Notamacropus eugenii: one gene and its partner. The protein of the gene in region 1 interacts with the protein of each later gene in a biochemical or structural test. Links are inferred from orthologs where the notes say so. Each region holds a gene or a part of one and is shown on either strand. Other genes may lie near its edges.

Region 1 (10,270 bases):
CTCATCCTGAACGCTCTGGACAACTTGAATGAAGACGAGTTCAAGAGGTTCAAGACCAAGCTGCTGAGCGTGCCCCTGAAGCCAGGCTACTGCCACATCCCCAGGGGCATCTTGCAGGTAATAGACCGCGTGGACCTCACCGACAAGATCGTCAGTTACTACCTGGAAAACTACGGGATGGAGCTGACTGGGCAGGTGCTCCAGGACATCGGCATGCGGGAGGAGGCTGTCAGACTCCGGCAAGCAGCGGGGGCTGGTGAGGCTCGGGGCTGTTCCCTATGTCCCCTGCTCTTTTTGTGTTTGAGAACTGAGACCTTAACCTTGACCCATCCCGTGCCTTGCTCCTAACCGGAACCTGAGTCCTGACCCCAGCTTCCATACAGCTTCCTGCCCCCACAGTCACATACCATTTCTTTTCCTCAAACCCTCCCCTAACACACCCGCCCCAAGCAGTATAGCTAACTGTGAGAAGTCTTCTAAGACCCAAAGGGAGTTTCATCCTAGGGATGGGAGGATGATGAGACACCTCTTTCTCATTCCCTTCTCTCATTACAGTCTGAGGCTCAGCACTGACAGAGAGAAGCACTTCTGGGAGGCCCTCATCAGGTAAGTGATGTGAAAAGTGGTGTGAAAAGTGCCTACTGTGTACCCCAGGGCAGAGTGTGGCAGGTAGGAGAAGAGGAAAGCATAAGTCTGGCACTCTTCAGGGGTCATAGTAAGAGCCTAGACATCTAGTGTGAGAACGATACTAGGACACCATCTGGGCACTTATGTGCAGCCTGTCCTGGACCGTGAAGAGGGAGGGAAAACAGGAGGGAACAGATTGGCTGATTAGCCATCTCCAATGAGGGAAGGTTCCTCGGGAGCTTGGACTTGGGCTAGGGCTAAACTGGATGCGTACTGGGAGAATACCAGGAACATGGAACTTCCCTGCGCCTGATCTTACTAGAAGAGGGAGTTTCTTTGGGAGGAGTTGGATCTGCAACATACCTTAATAAGGAATGATAATAAATAACCACCAAATACATAGCACTTCAAGTCTACAAAACACCCCACTCACTACAATGCATGAGTTAGGGTGGTACAGCTGTTATCTCCATTTTATAAAGAACCTGAGGCTTAAGGTCACATGGCTAGTAAGCATCTAAGGCAAGATTCGAACAAAGGTTGTCCTACCTCCAAGTCTGATGCTCTATTTTACTGTCTCCTAGTGGGGGAGGGAGGGAGGAGTGGAGCAGAATTTTGAAGCTAGAAAACCCAGCTGAGACTTATGCAATAATTTAGGCAAAGAATGATGAGGATTGGAGCTAAGGCAGTGGCACTGAACATGGAGAGAAAGGGTCAGATGTAATACAGATATAGATTGGTGATAGACAAGATGGAAGGAAGGACCTTTCCTGGTCAAAGGCTTCACTTTTTGTATGACAGTCAGCATTCTATTCTGTTACTACCTCCCCAACTAGCTACCTTCTCACCTGGTCTCTCTTATCTCCACTTTGCCCCCAGGACTATATACATCATGGACCACGGCTGATTGATCTTCATCACTGGACCCATAGAAGTAGACCAACGAATCCTGATTGAAGACATCACCAACCCTAATTTGAGGTTCTTCAGTTTTTTTGAGGCATGGGGCTTCAACTACCAGGACCCAGGGCAGTCTTTTTATCACTGACACCAAAGGGCTTCTAACTGTTCCCTGACCTTTCTCTGGCTCTATCTCTCCCCACAAAGTCAATTTTTGTGCCAGACATCCTCACCCACTTGTACCTACATTTTTATACATTCAAATTCACCAAAATCTGACTGCCTCAGTGCTTATTTGTAGATAAATTCACATAGAGTTGACACTGCGAGTGTGTCTGTGTACACAGCATGTGGACTGCACAGGGACACATTCTTGCATGTATGTGTGTGTGTATGTGTGTGTGTGTGTGTGTGTGTGTGTGTGTGCTGTCCCCTCCACATCTGTGAGGGTAAATCATCTCCCCTGTGCCTGCCCCTATCATAGCATACAGGTTTAACTACTTCCTATGGTCCCAAGATTTGCTCCTTTGAAAATGTGCCAAGATTGACACCTAGAGCCTCACCCCTTTGCCCCTATCACCCACATCCAACCCCACCTTCTACCAGCCATGCCTCTGACATAAATTCTCCAGCCCCCAACACATTCTTCTCTCCATAGAAACTTTCTGTTTGTGTCTGTATGGAGGCAGAGAATTTAAATTTAGCACAAGCAAAGGCTGCTTGCTAAAGGTGACTTTTCCTAAACCCAACTTGAGGTTCAACTCGGACTGGAAGAAGAGAGAGGAGGCACTTTAGGATTTTCTGCATCAGAAGAGACTTCAGAGATTTTTAATGTTTCCTCTCTGCCATGGAAGACATGGGGGAAGAGGAAGTCACAATTCAGGCTCTTCCTGGCGTTCACAATGAGAGCTTGGATACAGAGAAATTCTTGTGCCAAGTTAAACTCTCAACATCCTAAAACTTTTTGCCCAGGATTTTTTACTTAACATTCTTCAATCTCTCCCTTCCTACTCCATCTAGAATAACTCACTCAATTTGTCCCCAACACTATGCTACTCATAGTAAGTTAAGGAATATTTAAATTCTATTGAACTAAGTAATTTGAGGCATTTGGTTCAGCTGCTTCAGTTGTGTCTGACTCTTCATGACTCCATTTGGGGGTTTTCTTGGCAAAGATACTAGAATGGTTTGCCATTTCCCTCTCCAGCTCATCTTACAGATGAGGAAACTGAGGCAATCTGGGTGAAGCGATTTGCCCAGGATCACAAGCTAGTAAATATCTAAGGCTGGATTTGAATTCAGGTCTTTCTGACTCCAGGTCCATAGTTCTATCCACTGTGACACCAGCTGCCCAAGTAATTTGAAGAATACATAAGCTCTCTTCCTCAAACTCAGATTCAAAACTACTTCTTCATAGTCTTACTATATTTCTTAATAGTCTAACACTTTTCATATGGAATTTACCCATATACCCAACTTCTTACAATTGCCACAATGTCGCTGACCTTGAGTCCCAGTGCTTCTGTTGTCAGACTCTTTTCTCTAACTTTGCCCATAGATCCACCCTCCAAACCCCTCTCTAATCAGAACCCTATTCCTGTTCAAGTCATTTCCTGATCTTCAACAAGGATAGGTCTTGTAATTGACTGGGGAGTAAGAAGGGAGGGAGAAAAGATAAAATACTTTACCCCAAATCCTGAAGGTTATTCAGATACTCAGACCCTGTACTCTACCATGCTCTCTGGCTTTGTCATTTTCCCAACACATTTTCTGTATTTCCCCCCCATCTCCAGGTTAGCTCTTAGGCAATACATCCAAGCTTAAACCCCAGCAGCCCTCCCAAAATGAAAACTGTCCCCTAGATTCCAGGAGTTCCTCTCTGTACTCAGGACCTACTGGCAAATATGCCCCATCCAACGCCCTGTGGGAATATTCCCTTTTGTACCCACTCCAAAGTCCCTAGGGTAAATACTTCCCTCAGTACCAACAAGAAGGCCATAGGAATAGGGCTGGGTTAGGGATGGGATCCTGGACCAGAGCCCTCACTGTTACCTTCATCCTCTGGTGGGCCTCAGCAGCAGTGACCACACTGTGACCTCGGTGCTTGCCCAGAGAGGCACACACTCCACATATCAGTGCCCGGTCCTGCTCACAGTAGACACTCAGGGGGTCCAGATGTTCCTCACAATGGCCCTGTGGCACTTGAGCCAGGCTCTCCACTAACCGTGCCAGCTGTTGGTTGGTACTGAGCCCATCGGGTTTTGTGGGTGCCTGGCAGGAAGGGCAGAGCACAGTTCCAGCCTGAGTATCCGGGACCAGACGAAGGAGGCAATTGCGGCAGAAGCTGTGGCCACACTCAGCTGTGATGGGTGCATCAAAGAGCTTGAGGCAGAGTGGGCAGGATAGATCCTGGTACATGCCCTGCATCAGGGCAGGAGCACCCGACATGATGGGACCTGGGGACAGGTAAAGAAGGAAGAGGTCAGAGGTGCTTCTGGAGATGCCCACTGGCATTTCTGAAGTACCCAGTTGAAGTCCAAGCATCCTTATCCCCCTGTTCACCAGCATCTCTCTCCCTCCCCCTTCTAATTAGCTAGGTGGAACAGTGGATAGGACACTGGGTCTAGATCCAGGAAAAACTGCATTCAAATCTGCAGACAGTGTGACCCTGAGCAAGTCACTTAACTTCTGCCTCAGTTTCTACAACCGTAAAATGGGGATAATAATAGCACCAGCCTCCCAGAGTTGTTGTGAGGATCAAATGAGATATTTGTAAACCATCTAGCACAGTGCTTGGCACATAGTAGTGCCTTAATAAATGCTCATTTCTTTCCTTCCTCTCTATATTCCCATCTCTCTAGCTCAGACCAGAGTATACTCATTCTCCCAACCTATGTATAGAGGTTTCATCACTCCAGCTAGGACCTAGGTGTTCCCAGGAAGTTCTGTCTTGCCAGCTCAGATTGAAGCAATCAAATCATATCAGCTTGGAACATCAGTGTTCCCCCTGCACAGATCTAGAAATCCCCATTCCCCATCAAAGAATGAGACCAGAAGCTGAGCCAAGTTCTATAAATAGACCTGACAGATGCATAAACCAGTGAGTGTCACCACCACCCAAGGAGGGAGAAAGCAAATGCCACAGGCCTCCACCCCAGAGGACTCAATTCAGAATCAGATACTCCTTCTTCCCAGTCTTCCTGCTTTCCTCTTTGTCTCACTGTCCACTACCCCAAGGCCCATGATTATAGACCTCCTGCTCCTGCTATCCACCCTTCCTCGAAAAACTCAGGGCCTCCAGTGAACTACACTTAGTTCTCTCAAGTCACTGCATATCCCAAGGTCATCCCTCATTTACAGACAATGAGTGACTCCTTCAATAGCCCAACCCCATAGATTCCAGAATTTTTGACCACCCCATCCTCAGCCCCTGCTTCTTCCAATGTTCAAAGCTCTTACTTCTTCCCTCTTTCCCTCTGTCACACCTTTCTCAAAACACAGACTTTCTACTCCCTGGGCCTTCCTTCTCCACTCTCTCCTGTTCCAAAGAGTAGAACTCTTCCTTCTCTATTCCAATTCCCTATATCTCTCCCCTTAACCCCACTGGGAACAGAATGAGAGAACGTCTTACCAAGATTTAGGGTTTCTGCCAGAGGTCAAAGTTGTGAAGTAGGGTTGGGAAAGGGGATTCAAAAGCGTGGAGTAGTGACCCAAAGTGAGTGTCCAGTCCAAGTCCTTTCTGACTTTGCTGGAACCCAGAGTGATATTTATATATCTTGGCATGCTACATCTCATCAGTTCAACTAGTTCTAAATTTGGGTCGTGATGGGGGCCTGGAGGAGGGGCATCACATGTCAGAGCCTCCTGTCAGGCCTAAAGAATTCTCCTGGAATTAGCCATCTCCCCTCTCTACCCCTCCCCCCAACTCTCAGGCTAACCCAGAAGCAGACACAGTCCAAAGTCTACTCCTGCCCAAAGCTCAGTCCATTACAGGGTCAAGCGTACCTCATCGTTCAACTAATTATCCAAGCCAAGTTCAGAGCCCAGCCCAGTCCAGAGTCCTTAGACTCCAGTCCTGACTACAACCTAGATCCCAGCTGTCTCACAGAATCACAGAATCTGAGTTGGAAGGGACCTCAGAGTCTATGCCGTACTTGAGCAAGGACTCCTTGTACAGCAGACATAACCAATCGTCATCTAGTCTCTTCTTGAAGACCTTCCACATGTCTTTTTAATTCAATTTTTATTTTTCAGTTCTAAATTCTCTCCCTTTGGCCTCTTCCTCTCCCACTTCCTCCCACGAGAGGCAGTTAAACAGTGAATAGAGTGATAGGCATGGCGTCAGTCCAACTCTGGCCTTAGACACTTGCTAGCTATGTGACCCTTAATGCTTCTTTGCATCAGTTACCTCAACTGTAAAATGGGGATTATAATAACACCTACCTTCTAGGGTTGTTAGGAGGACTAAACGAGATAATATTTGCAAAGTGCTTAGCATGGTGTTTGGCACATTTTGTTGTCATTCAGTCATTTTTCAGTCATGTCTGACTCTTTGAGACCCCACCTGGGGTTTTCTTGGCAACCATATTGGAATGGTTTGCCATTTCCTTCTCCAGATCATTTTACACACAAGGAAACCAAGGGAAACACAATGCTGTGACTTGCCTAGGGTTACATGGCTAGTTAAGTGTCTGAGGCTAGATATGAACTTAGCAAAATGAGTCTTCCTGAGTCCAAAACTTTATCCACTGCACACCTAATTGCCCAACCTACCACACAATAGGAGCTTAATAAATGCCTATTCTCTTCCCATGGAGAAAGCAAGAAAAACAAAACTTACTACAAATATTTGTGGTCAAGCAAAATAAATGGCCATATTAGCCATGTCAAATACATACATACACATATATAACGTAAATACGTATACTCACCTGTCTCTATGCCTCAGCTCTACTTTGAATCCATCTCTTTATATGGAAGTGAATAATCCTTCCATGAAATCTGTATGGACACAGTGGTTTGTGTGTCATTGCCCCCTTCTCCCCACCCCACACTGAGAGGAGGGACTGACTGTGTTTTCCACTTTCTTTGTCTCCCCTGTGCTTAGCCCAGCACATGTATGAAGCACTTGATAAACAACGTGGGGTTCTGCCACTGCCAAAGCAAACCATCCCACATCTGGATAGCTCTAATTGGCAGAAAGTTTTTCTTTACTACAACGCTAAATTCACCTCTTTGTCACTTCCTCCTTTTGTACTTAAGCTATGTTTCCACTTGGAGTCATTTCAGGACAAAAATAACTTTTACTACACACACACACACACACACACACACACACACAATCACACAAAGGTTAAAGAAAAGTAAACTAAACAGATGAACTCTTCAGGTCTTTGATTACAGATAGGGCATTCACTAATATTTCTCTTCATACCTATTCTACCTCATTCTGTCTTGTAACCCTTTCTCTCTCTGTCTCCTTTTAAGATTTTCCCTTAAACTATTTACCTAAAGAAGACCCATGAGGTCAACGGATTCCTTTAAATCAACAGAGGAACAAGTAGGTAACAGCTCCTGTCCTATTCCAGAATAAAAAACTACAGATTTATCAAGGCCTTCTCTCACAGGGAGAATTCAAGGTAAACCCTGAGAAGAGAGGAGTTGGGTTGACTGGAAGATTAATGGGAGTGGTATAGGGAGATGGCTTGTCTGATGGTTTTTGAATTGGAACCAGGTTACCCCTGCCCTGTTCTTTGCTCTTCCCTGACTGGGGTAGGGTGATCACCTATGGGTGGTATCCTCACTATTTTCTAAAGACCATCCACAGTTCCTCCTTTAGTAAGGAGATGGCAATCAAGCCACAAGTATTTATGTACCAGGCACTGTGCTGAGCACTAGATATACAAAGGAAAGCAGATATATGGTCTCTGCTCTCAAGTTCAAATACAAAAAAGGGGGGGAGGTGGCATAAAAGGTATATACAGTAGAAGTGAAAAATAATCTTAGAAGAAAGTCACTAGCATTGGTGGTGAGAAAAGGAGAAGGAGAGGCTGGGAAAGGTCTCTTGCAAACAGTAGAGTTTGAGCTGAATCTTAAAGGAAACCAGGGAAGGCAGAAGAGTGAAATAAGATGTAAAAGAAAAAGCTCTGAGATGGGAATTAGGAGACCTGGGTTCTAATTCCAATTTTAGCACTTACCTTAGGACAAATCATATTCCCTTTCTAAAAGAGTCAGGCCTTAGGCCTTGCTGAAATGAGTGAATGTCTTAGAAATTCGAGCTTCCTCTTAGATCTAAGAGGCCTAATCCTTTGGCCCTGGTCTTTCAGCTTTCACTACTTCATAGTATGGTGGAAAGACTACTCTATTTGTAGTCAGGGGTCTAGGGTTTATATCTTGATTCTGCGGTTTACTACCTGTGAAACCTTCAGATCTCAGTTCCTCGTCCATAAATTGAGGGGGTTGGATAAGATGACCCTGAAGGCCCCTTCTAGTTTCAAGTCTACAATCTATGACATTCTAAGCTTTCCCTAATTACTAAGCCTGAACTCAAGGCCATGGTCTCTCAACCGACTCCCTGAGTGCAAAGATATAATGCATTCCACCTGGTAGGTGCCAGATGACACAATAGATAGAGCATGGGGCTCATAGGAAGATCTAAGTTCAAATCCTGCCCTAGACACTAGGTGTATAAGCTAGGGCAAGTCATTTAACCTTCCTCATCCTCAGTGTCCTCATCTGTAAAATGAGGGGGTTAGCCTCTAAAATCTCTTGCAGTTCTAACTTTATGAACCTTCTACCAGTGCCTCTAAAACTGGATCCTATCTTGGCATCTGCTCTTTCTTTCCCTTCAACTCCTTGCTGCCACATACTCCAAATGACAAAAGTGAATTTTCTAGGGTTTCTTCACAAGGAAAAAACATACATACATACATAGATACACACATGTATGTATACATACATATATGTATATGTGCATATATGTGTGTACATGTATTCAGAAATCACATGTACCAGAGAAAAACTATTAGAAGAAGCACTATCCAGTTTCAGACAGTCTAAGTTACTCTGCTTAGCAACAGCTCCCCAGGCTTGACTTGGCCTGTCATTTTCTCAGTTTCACACCACAACCTAATACCTTCCTGGTCCTACAAGAACATAAATTCTTCTACCTCCAAAAATGCTGACTTGAAATTTCCCTGCCTGTGTGTTCCAAACCCAGCTCATTCCCGAGTTCAGCTATCCCTTTACAATTTAGGAAGTGATTTCATATGCAGTCATCCCTTTGATTCTTGTAACTCCTATGTAGTCCAAGCAGTTTTGATCCCAGAATCAACTCATATGCAACTGGGAAATCCCTTGGTTGCTTGACATGACATTTGCATTCCAATCTAACAACTGGCCTTTCCCTACTAAGGGAAAGAAGCAATAGTCATAGGCAATTCCCAAATTTCACACTAGATGATCTGTAAAATAACAATAAAATAGAACCTGTCCCGCCTACATGAGGGAGGATGAGGATCAAAGGGAACCACTGGTTGTGAAATTGCTTTCTAAACTATAAAGTATTAGATATGTGAAAGGAATTATTCTGATTATCAGTCTGGAAGGGAGGGAGTTCTCTAGAAGTCAGCAGGCAGCCTGAGGGCATGCCAGAGTAGAGGCCCAGAAGGAAAAAAAAAGGGAAAGCCTTCTAATAAACCAGTTTGGGAAGATTCTTTGGGAGGCTATATGTAGGACGGTGGGAGTCTGAGACATCAAGGGGCACGCATGGGGTGGGAAGTTTCAGGTAACCCTTGCTGTACAGAATTAAAATGACAGTCTCCATAAGGACAGGATCTATTTCTTCTCTCTCTTTCCTTAATGTCTCTGGCAGGGGGGCTTGGACATAGTTGGTGCCTAATAGTTGCTTGTCAAATTTTGTGAAGTACCTAGTGTGTAGTTGGTGCTTAATAAATATTAGTTGACTTAAAATTGAATTGATTTAAAATATAAAAATTACAAAATGTTAGAGCAAAAAGTACTGATTTGAGTTCATTTTGCTTTGTTCCTTTCTTTATGGTGGTGAGTAGATTTTAGCATACAACAGCAAAATTGGTGGTTAAGCAAGCTGGTGCCAGGTGAACCTTATTTTTCTATTAATCTACACTAGGAATTAAAGATATATTCTGATCATTAGAAATATAATCCCTGAGCCCAACAGCAATGGGTATAAGTTTCACAAAGATTTTTTTGAGCTCAACATAAACAAAACTTCCTAGCTATTAGAGCTATTCTAAAGTAGAATGCACTAACTGATAAGGAAGTGAATGCTCCATTACTGGATGTTTTCCAGGGCACACTGAATTTCCTTTTACAGAAGAGTTATAATTAGCAATTTTCAAACCTGGGTCTAGCAGCCTGAAACATGCCTTCCATTTATTTTGGGGAATAGAGTGCGTTGGTGGAGCCCAGATACTAAGAAGCTATTTCTGCCAGGCCATCATGGTGGAAAGATGGACAAACAAGGGGCTGGGAATTCACCAGTGGTACTACCAACAGGTAAGAGGAGTGGTAAAAGAAAGCAGTCTCTTACTATTTCCTTTTAAAATAATTATTCTTGCTGACTGTGTGCTAAGTTCACAGTTTTTTGTTCCTTTGTTTCTGGCAGCAAAAGAACTTCAATATTAGCATCTTCTAAATTTTGGCATCCTGGAACAAAATCTTAATTGCTCCAAACTAGTTATGAGTCTCCTTCTCTGAATTT
Region 2 (10,298 bases), about 200 Mb from region 1:
GGTTGGATTCAATGGCCTCTGGAGTTCCTCTTCCAATTCTAGATCTATGATCCTGTAATCTGATAACTCACAAACTTTCTGAATATATTCACCTAAAGTACAAATACTGTGACATATGAGATGCCCACTTACCTATTCCTTACAAGTATTCTTTATTCTAGCGATTACTTACTGACTTCTGATTCTCCAGTTTTATGTTTTTTAAGTCCTTCTCTAGGCTCCCCCAACCCCCTCTCTTTTGTATACAAACACACTCTGGTCACACTCTATCAGCTGTTTGGGCAGCTCCGCCCACTGCTCAGTTTCCGGGTAGTAACAGAACAGCCAATGAGCCAAGGGGAGCTGTGCCTGCGGCCTTTCGCCTGCAGACGCTTCCCCAAAACAAGCAGCTCCGGCATTTAGCTGGGGCCTCTGGTTCACAGATAAAAGGATCAGAAAGACTGTGCAACAGGGTAGGACAGTGAAAAAACTCAGACGGTCAAGGGACCTTGGTGTAATCCGAGCAATTTGTTCCTCCACCAGGGGAAAATTTAACAGGTTATTTCTTAAGCGCAAATCGTAGGTTTAAGTACCAAAGAGCACGACTTCCAGTATAATCAAAATAATCAGCTAGATTTAAAACTGAAATTTAAAAAGCAACGCTCCAGTTCTGACCCAGAAAAGCCTCCACTGGGCTGACTGGATAAAGCGCCCTTCCTCTTCCCACCTTCACACACTCAAAGGCACTCCTAGTAGGCGAAGGCAAGTGCTAGGACAGGACAACATCCCCACAGTGCTAAGAAGCAATTTAAATTGGTTTTAGGCTATAGAAGAAGGTTTGCACAACAACCAGTAGAGAAACAATGAATGAGTCAGAGTTTCAGAACATAATCAACCAGCAAATTATTTCAGTGCATCGGTGCAAAACATTCACTCCTCAAATAACTTGGAAGTCTGACCTCCTCCTACCAACAACCCAGTCACAAAAGAAAGATCACTGACTTCAACTAATAGAGGCCACTGTCTCTGATGAACCTGTCCAAGCCATGGAAAGCAGGGGCATGAGTTACACGTCCATCCTCTTCTCTCCCTACCCCCACACCCTGTCACTTTAGTAGTGTATAGGTTCCCTGCCAGGCTGTAAATCCTGGTGGCATAATTACGCCCAGAACACATCCAAAAATGGGCTGAAACAAGAGATTGCTAAGAAAATGGTAGAAAGCATAAACCCAAGAAATTAAGGGCCAGTGGGAGTAACAAGCACGTACATTCCTTCAGATCTATTTTTTCTACTTCCTCACTCACTGTCTTATTTTCAACACCCTCTCTTTCCTTTCCACATCATTTCACTTATTTTAGTACAGGGCTTATTTTATGTCAGCTAAATATATGAGTACATTAGTTATATTCAAAAAGTGATGGCTCAATTCAGGCCTACTGATCTCATTTAATCAGAGAAAGCAGGCCACAAAACACGCAAAAAGACAAGGAGGAAAACCTACAAAGGCATCTGAAAAATATAAACTTCTCAATCATGACGTTTATGTTAGGAGGAGAAAACAAACACGTAGCAAAGACAATCCCTTGCTTTTAAATCCCCAGGACTATTATACAAGAGACCTGTGATTTAAAAGCACCTCTGCTTTCTTTTGTCAGAAGAGTGAAGGTGGGGAATGAACAGGAAGCCAATGTATCTTTGTCTTTCTTCATCATGTACTAAAAATAAGCTACGAAATAAAGCCACTTAGGGGAAAAAAAATCACCCTGCCCTTCTTTGTCTCTACCACCTCCCCTCCACAGATGCCCCTACTCCTAAATGCGGTAATCTTTCTAGATGCCACAACTAAGTGAACAAAAGGAGCAGTCTTGGGAAGGGCTCAGGTCAAGTTGGGCCTCACCCCTTATTCTCAACCTTTTAAAAACACATATGTATATATTTGAAGAATATGATATTGTTTAAAATAACAGCTAGAGTTCTTTCCCCTGGAATAAATGAAACACTAGCTGAAAATTTGCATTGGTTTGACAGTAACACTAAATCCAGGATAAAAATAACTCAGGTTCTGCCACAATCAGTGTCATTTCCTATTTTCTAAACAAGACTAGAATCTGAAGCTGCTTTGTCTAAATACACACATATCCACAGTTACAAGTTTTGCTACAGTCTTATGAAAAGCCACTAACACAACTGCTATTATCCATTACACACACTCAACCTTACCTAAGGAACAGTACATAAAACAACGTCTTGGTTTACCTTTTCCCTAGAAACAATTTCATTCGTTCATACATACGCCTTTCTCTTTGTCTTATCTCTCACACATTCCCCAAAAAATAAAAACTCAGGCCCAAACTTCAATATCTCCAGCAGCTAATCCCTAGCAAGTTCTCCAGGGTGGGGTAGGGAAAGCCACCTTCTTGTTTCTAAAAACATTAAGAATAATCTCTGAATTTGACAAACATCTACCCATCCCCCACCTGCAAACCAAAAATTTTAATACTACTTTAAAACTCTGTCAAGTTTGTTTGACTGAATATTCAATAGTATTACCCACCCTTTACAAAAGAGATAAATCATCCAATCAAAAATAGTAATGAATAAATAAATAAATAAATGAAAGAATTCTTCAGGAGAATCCAGCCAAACTACTTGTTATATAAACAAAACCCTGCAACAGGGGGGAAGAGGAGGAGAGGTGGGGAGGGGAGGGAAAAGAAGGTAAACTGGACTTTTCAACTACATTTTACCCCCATTTTCCCCCAGGGACAGGTCGCTTGGCTCGTTTCCTCCATCCCCCACAACCTCTAAATCACCCTTTAAAAAAAACAAAAAAAAAACAATACAAAACCCTGGATTTGTCCCGGGAACCTTCGGGAATTTCTCTGTGGCTGAAGTCATTAAGTAAATAATAATAACCAACCACCACTACAAAAGCCCGGTCTGCAGTATTCTTCCCAAATACAATCCAATCTCTCCACTGTCACCCCCAATAATATAGATCAAGTGTATTAGAGGAGAGTGTAAAGAAGGTTATTATTTGAGAAGAAAGGGGCAGGTATTCCTCAAAACCCTAATCTCATGCTGTTGAGGGGTTTCCCTGTAGTGAGCAGTGGGGTTTTGGGGGGTAAGTGCTCCCCATTCTCTCTTCTCAGTGTCACATATACTGGCAGAGGAGGGTGTTTGGCTACAGTCACAGAGGTCCCTCTCTTTACAGGACTTAGTCTATAAGGTATGCTTTGTCAGAAGCAGGCAGCAAAGCTGAAACCGAGAAGGGGTGCCTGACAAGTATGTAAAGGGTGATTTCTAATTGGGGGGGGGGAGTTAGAGGACACTGGATAGAACTGAGTCCTGCTTGCCTCTTCCTACTAATACAGCAAATAAGTGGGAATAAAGAAGGAAAGGGGCTATTTGGTCGCCCTAGCTTACCAATACTCTGGGTAGGGATTGGGGGGGGACTTTACTGAAAAGAGAAAGGAACTATCCTGGGATATTCCCACCTAGGGTCCCTAAATTATACAGCTGAGAGAGAAGAGAGGGAAGACCTGTAGGGTGGGCTTAAGTAGCTGGGGGAAATAAGCAAAAAGCCCACCTAGTCCCACGAGAAAAAGCCGGTCTTCGGAGGTTTAAAAACTGTAGAGGTGAGATCATGGCTACGGAGGGGGTGCAGGAGAGGGGGAGCAACGCGAATTTGGAGGGGCTGCAGTTAATGGAGGCGATGAAAGGGACTGGGAGGTGCTGAGGACGAGCCCCGGGCAGGGGGGAGGGGAGTCACGGATGGGGGGGCAGTGCCCCAGGGCCCTGGGGGGGTCCCGGGGAGGGAAGGCCGGGGGAGGGGGGGGCGGTAGGCGTCACCACCCCACGTCCCCCGGACCACTACACACAGACGCACACGCAGACAGCTCCCCCCCCCCCACGGCCACGAAGGATACAGCTTGACCACGTCCGTGTCCATCCGCCTCTTGCCCGGGCTGGGGGATGACATGGTGTCGCCTGCGCCGCCGCCGCCTCTTCCCTTCCTAGGCCCGTCTGTCACGGGCCCCGGGCCCCGGCGCTGTGGAGCCCGCGGCCGGCCCGGCTCCTCCTGTGGGGGCGGCGACACCCCGAGGTCCGGTCCGCCGCCGCCGCCTCTTCCTCCTCCCCCCGGGAGGGGAGGCGGGGGGAGACACCAGGCACCGTACGGCTGGGGGGGCTGGGGGAGCGCCCCGGGCTTCCCGGCTCTGTCTCTCTGGGGTCGTCGGCTCCGCAGCTGCTGCCCCGGCCCTGGCTCCGGTCCCGGCTTCGGTCTCTCCGCGCAGCGCCGCGCTGCTCCGCGCTCCGCTCCGCTTCCCCCCCTCCCTCCCTGGCTCGCTCTCTCGCAGCCTCCGCCACCAGCGGCGACTCCAGCTCCGGCGGCTGCTTCTCTACCGAAGCCTCGCTCTGAGCGCCGTGACGTCACCTCTCAGTGACGTCACCCAAGGGGCGGGGCCCCGGCTCGGCCACCGAAAGGGGAGGGTCACCGCGGCGGCGCGCAATTTCCTAGGGCCTTTTGGGAGTTGTAGTTCCGCTTTTTACCCTGGCTTGCCTTCCAGTTCCACGGGCCTTTTCCTCCTCCTCCTCTTCCTCCTCCTCCCTTTCCCTCCCCACCCCTCCAACCACTCCTGTCGTCATCATCTTAACAACAACAATAGTTAATTATAATGACAACGCTAATGATAGCTTTAGTTTTTATTTGGTTGTCTATTTTGAAGAGTTGAGAATGCTTCATATATAGTCTGCTTGTTAATTTCCAGGGCTCTATAAGCAAAAGTAATTTGAGGTTAACCTCTCTTGGAATTTGGCCAGTGGGGCAATCATTAGCAGAAAAACATCTAATATTGGTATACTGCTTTAAGATTTGCAAAGAGATATGTGTATGTGTTACAGATGCACATGTAAAATACATACTGCATAGATTTAAATATACATGCATATATTATGTAAAGTGCATGCATGTAAGTATACATGTGCACATATGTATGTAAAGTATGGATTGGGTCTAGGAAAAGTGTGTTGTATAAATGGAAAATACACATCTACATGTATAAACGTGTATTGTGTAAATATACATCTACACAGTTTTGTGCCTGTGTATGTGAATATACATATATATGTGTATACATAAACATATGTACATATAGGCATGTGTGCATATAGCCTCATAAAATAAAGAGGGCTCTCACAGCAACAGACTGTCTACATTCTGCTCCTACTTTGAAAAGTTATTGGTTTTGCAATAGTAGTATTCAACAGAGGTTTAATAAGTGCTTTGCTAGTGTCTTCCTTGTGCTGGTGATCGCCAATGTGTCGGATATCTATATCTTGTTTATACGTAGTTCTTTTCATGCTATCTCCTCCACTAGACTGAGCTCCTTGAGAGCCAGGACTGTCTTTTGCCTTCCTTTGTACTTAACAGCACAGTCTCTGGAACATTTGGTAGCTTGATAAATGTTTAGTGACAACCAGCTAAAAGCATGAAAGCCAGCACATAACTGTAGGGCTGTTGCTTCTCCTTAATTAACACCATTGTAATTCTTTTCATCTCCAACTGGCCTTGTCCAACTTAGCCAAGTCTAAAGAAACATGTGCTACATTATTCTTTGGCCCTGTCAAACTGACTTTTTTACAGTTCCTATATATGAGATTTCATTTCCTACAATGCCAAGCTGTCCCCATGACTAGAATATATATTCTTCTCATTTCTGCCTCTTAAACTCAAATTCGAAGTTCAATTCAGATGTCACCTCTTGTCAATTGGCCTTTCCTGATCCCCTGGTTGCCTTATGCCCTCCCTCCCCAAACAAAAATGATTACCTTGTATTTATTTTGTATACATTTTGTATATACCTGTTTTGTACAAACATATTTTGTATATGCCTATATGTAAATATGTTGTGTCCTCCTGTAGAATGTAAGTTTCTTGAAGGCAGGGATGGTTTCATTTTTGTCTTTTTATCTCTAGCATTTGCAACAGTGGCATGATCAATCCACAAGCATCTATAAAATGTGTAGTAAGTGCTGAGGATACAAAGAAATAGCCAAGTCCCTGTCTTTGGGGGAGTTGTAATGGGAATAGACGGGGAGGGACATTAATCAGCTGGAGAGTGTCCTGAGGAGGGCAGCCAGGATGACAGAAATGCTTGACAGCATGTCATATGAAGTTTGATTGAAGAAAAGCAGAATGTGTAAATGGAAAAAGAGAAGACATCAGGCCTCCTATTATAGCTTTGTTCAATTATTTTGAAAGAATGGCTTCCTTCAAGATTCAGCTCAAATGCTACCTTCTTCCAGTGGCTTTTCTTAGCTTATGCTGTTTTTCCCTTTCAGGTTACCTTGTATCTTCTTTGTTAGTATCTTATATGTACCTCTTTATGTACCTCTTTTCTCCCAAAATAGAATATAAACTCCTAGAAGGAAGGGACTTTGCTATTTCTTTGTATCCCTAGCACTTATTACACATTTTATAGATGCTTGTGGATTGACCATGCCACTGTTGCAGATACTAGATAAAGATAAAAAGACAAAAATGAAACCATCCCTGGCTTCAAGGATCTTATATTCTATAGGAGGACACAATACATGCACATATAGGTATATATAAAATATGTCTGAACAAAATAAGTATATACAGGATGTATATAAAATAATGTACATTCTCCTCACTTCTGCCTCTTAGAATTCAAGCTTCAAAATTCAATTCAGATGTGACCTCCTACATATGACCTTTCCTGACTCCCCAGTTGCGGATGCCTACCCACCAAAAAAATTGCCTTGTATTTATTTTGCTTCCACACTATGCCTCTCCAATTCATCCTTCACAGCGCTACCAGAATAATCTTTTTTATCCATAGACCTAGAAATGTTGCACTTCTAAAATTCATCAGGAACACTATATTGCCTCCATAATGAAGTTCAAACTTTACATCTCTGTCTGGAAGAGTCACTCAACTTAGTGGCCCCTCTACATTTCCAGCCTCATCTCTTGCCTGCTATATTGCAGTCAAACTGGATAACTGTACCTCTGAATACAAGTCATATTGTCATGCCTCTATACCTGAGCTAAAGCTCTTCTCTAAATCTAGAGATTCCTCCTTCCCTATCTTCACCTGTTTACCTCCTACCTGCCCTTTAAAACAAAGCGCAGACACTACCTTATTCAAAAAGCCTGCCCAGTCCTCCCAGTCAATAATAGTCTTCCCCCAGGACCTCATATAGCACTTTGCTTTGCAGCTCTCCAAATCACTTAGGGAATATTGTATACTAGAGTTATCTATCCATACTGGTGTCTTATCCTCCTTGAGGGATAAGTTCCTTGAAGGAAATGACTCATGAATCAACCAGCAAGGGTTTATTAAGTTCTTGTTGTGTGGCAGGCACTAGCTAGGGGCTGGAGATATAAGGACAAAAATAAAATCAGTATCTGACCTCAAGGAGCATATTCTCTTGGGGAGTAAAATATGGCTGTACACACTTACATGTAAATGTTTAGAATCAGATACAAAACAGATACAGAATAACCTTTGAAAGGAGGCACACTAACAGAAGGATAAAGAAAGGCCTCATGCAGAATGTGATGATGCTTAACCTGAGTTTTGAAGGAAAGCAGTGATTCCTAGAAATTGTGGGGTGAGAAGGGTGTGTACATTACCCATAAGAAGATAGTTTAAAGGCATGGAGATGAGAAGTTGTGTGTGATGTGCAAGAAAGAGGGAGAGGACCAGTTTGACCAGACTACATATTCTGTGGAGGAGATGTAGGGCTGGAAAGGTGGAATAGGAACAGGTTGTAAAGAACTTTAAATTTTAAAAAATTTATATTTGATCATAGAAGGAATAGAAAGACAACAGAATTGATTGGTGGATGTGGGGTGGTGTTGGATATTGGTTGCTGTGTAGAGATTGAAGTGGAAAGAAATGTGAGCAAATCTTGAAGTATCTAACCTCTTAGGAAAGTATCATTAGGAATAATTGGTTGCTATTGTATGTTTTAAGTATTTGTCAATGTGTGTTCTTAAGTTTGTAGTTTAAACATTTCTTCCATGATGGAGGAAATCAATAGCTATCCTATAACTGATCTATTTTTTACATCCAGTAAAAGGGACATTGCTAATTCTTTTGGGGGAGACTCTGGAGATGACACGAACCTCAAGCTTTGTTGTAGAGGTTTTTGCCTACAGTTCTATTCTGAGGGCATTGGTTGGGGAGTGTGAGGAAAGCTTGATCTCATTTGGGGGGAGTCAGGTTACCTAGTTAAGGTCCTAGGCCTGTTAGTAGGAAAGGGTAAGAATTTTATATCTGTTATATTGCTATTTTTTCATTATACTTACTGAGTGCAGCACTAAAGACTGATTATAGAAGGAGGATGAGGGACTTGAGGTCAACCGGATAGATTAGGAAATTATTGTTTGCTCTCTAATCCCAACCCCACCCTAAACTTTAACATGTAATATGGGCTCTCTCATCCAGGAGTTGACCATGCACACTCCTACCATCCCATGTCTCATAGAGGTTGGCTCTCTCAACTTCTCTCAATAGAGGTAAACTGTTATTTTTAAATACTCTTAACCAAAGCTGTAACTAGCATGGGGCAGCCAAGGCACAGCATATTTCCTTCCTAGTTGAGTATATTTCCTCCTTGAGGCGAGCACTACTTCCCATCTTGGGGCAGCTAGGTGGTGCAGTGGATACAGCACCAGCGCAGGAGTCAGGAGGACCTGAGTTCAAATCTCACCTCAGACACTTGACACTCACTAGCTGTGTGACCTTGGACAAGTCACCTAACCCCAGTTGCCTCATCCTGGGTCATCTCCAGTCATCCTGATGAATATCTGGTCACTGGATTCACATGGCTCTGGAGGAGAAGTGAGGCTGGTGACCTTGCACAGCCCTCCCTAACTCAAAACAAAGTCAAGTGCAAGTCATGTCATTATTTCTCTGATGGCATGGTCTTCTTTGTCAATGAAGGATGAACACATACTTCCCATCTTAGGCCTCCACCAGCCTACCCTACCATATACCACAATCACTCCCAGGCCACCTCCTCTAGAGTCCCATTGCTATGTTGATCCTCTTCCAAGTCCCACATTTTCCCCAAACCCTGTAGAGATACAGACCAGATTCTTGGGGTAATAGGGTGCCCCATTTCCTTGTACAACTCTGCCATGGTTGGACTGTGCTCTGAATATGCCACTCCCCATTCCCCAAACTCAATCTGCCCTAGGCACAAGAATTCTTAGCTTTTATTTTGACTTTTACTACATACACAGAAAGCCTCTTTAAATGAAAGTATATCCCAGTGAAAGAATTTGTCTCCCCATCTTTGAGAACCTTATTAGAAGGAGATAAGAATGGAATAGAAAAGCATGATCTCAGCTAACCCACTTCACTGAGAATCAGGCAGGACTTGGTGCTTATCTCTTTCAATAAACAAACTTTGTGCTATCACTTGACTCTGCCTCAGTTTCCCTCTTCTGTGTTAAAAGGGTAGAGGAGTTAATCTATGCAAAATACAATCAGTACCTAGGGAAACAAACCCTGTTAGATGAGTCCTCCTCAGAGACAAGGATTCTGTTTCAAATGAAACTTGACCAGCTTAATGTGTGTTCATCCTTTGTTGCCGAAGAAGACCATGCCATCAGAGAAATAATGACATGACTAGCACTTGACTTTGTTTTGAGTTAGGGAGGGCTGTGCAGGTCACCAGCCTCACTTCTCCTCCAGAGCCATGTGAATCCAGTGACCAGATATTCATCAGGATGACTGGAGACGGCCCAGGATGATACAATTGAGGTTAAGTGACTTGCCCAAGGTCATACAGCTAGTGAGTGTCAAGTGTCTGAGGTGAGATTTGAACTCAGGTCCTCCTGACTCCTGCACTGGTGCTCTATCCACTGCACCACCTAGTTGCCCTTACCAGCTTAATATCAACAAATTCATAGGAAGAAAAGATCTCAAGACACAATTTAAAGTGCCCATGAGGGTAAAAGGAATGGGGGAAATAAAGAATGTTACCTATTTCATCCCTTTGTGATAAATTCCTCCTTACAAAAATATAAAAATATCCATTTTCTCTTGACCTGCTCGACAACTCTACGAGCTAATTTTTAAGGCTATTAATTATCCTCTTTATACATCTGAGGAGACTGACCCTACTGAGAGAGGTTAAGTAACATGTCCATCATCAGACAACTACTAAATGCCAGAGGCCAAATTCAGAACTGTTGCAGTCTACGGGTCTTGGAAACCCTGAAATGCAAGGGCAAAGGGCACAGATATGCCTTGAAAAAATTCAACCCACTCAAACC

Evidence for each region. The genes of interacting proteins can lie anywhere in the genome.
Region 2: the proteins of TRIM72 (region 1) and UBE2H form a complex in vitro, tested with the Homo sapiens proteins (2 studies listed by BioGRID). The link is inferred for Notamacropus eugenii from reciprocal best matches to the Homo sapiens genes TRIM72 and UBE2H.

What each region holds. Positions count from the first base shown.
Region 1 is NC_092874.1:319,201,911-319,212,180, reverse strand, and holds the start of TRIM72 (tripartite motif-containing protein 72), read right to left. Parts: upstream 5,277-10,270; 5' UTR 5,159-5,276; intron 3,984-5,158; 5' UTR 3,976-3,983; coding exon 3,580-3,975; intron 1,802-3,579; exon of another isoform or gene 1,507-1,801; intron 607-1,506; exon of another isoform or gene 561-606; coding exon of another isoform or gene 556-560; intron 257-555; coding exon of another isoform or gene 1-256. Other genes in the region: PYDC1 (pyrin domain-containing protein 1), read left to right, coding at 1-256, 556-560. UniProt on the Homo sapiens protein: Muscle-specific E3 ubiquitin-protein ligase that plays a central role in cell membrane repair by nucleating the assembly of the repair machinery at injury sites.
Region 2 is NC_092874.1:120,220,795-120,231,092, reverse strand, and holds the start of UBE2H (ubiquitin-conjugating enzyme E2 H), read right to left. Parts: upstream 4,403-10,298; 5' UTR 3,963-4,402; coding exon 3,910-3,962; intron 1-3,909. UniProt on the Homo sapiens protein: Accepts ubiquitin from the E1 complex and catalyzes its covalent attachment to other proteins. E2 ubiquitin conjugating enzyme that transfers ubiquitin to MAEA, a core component of the CTLH E3 ubiquitin-protein ligase complex.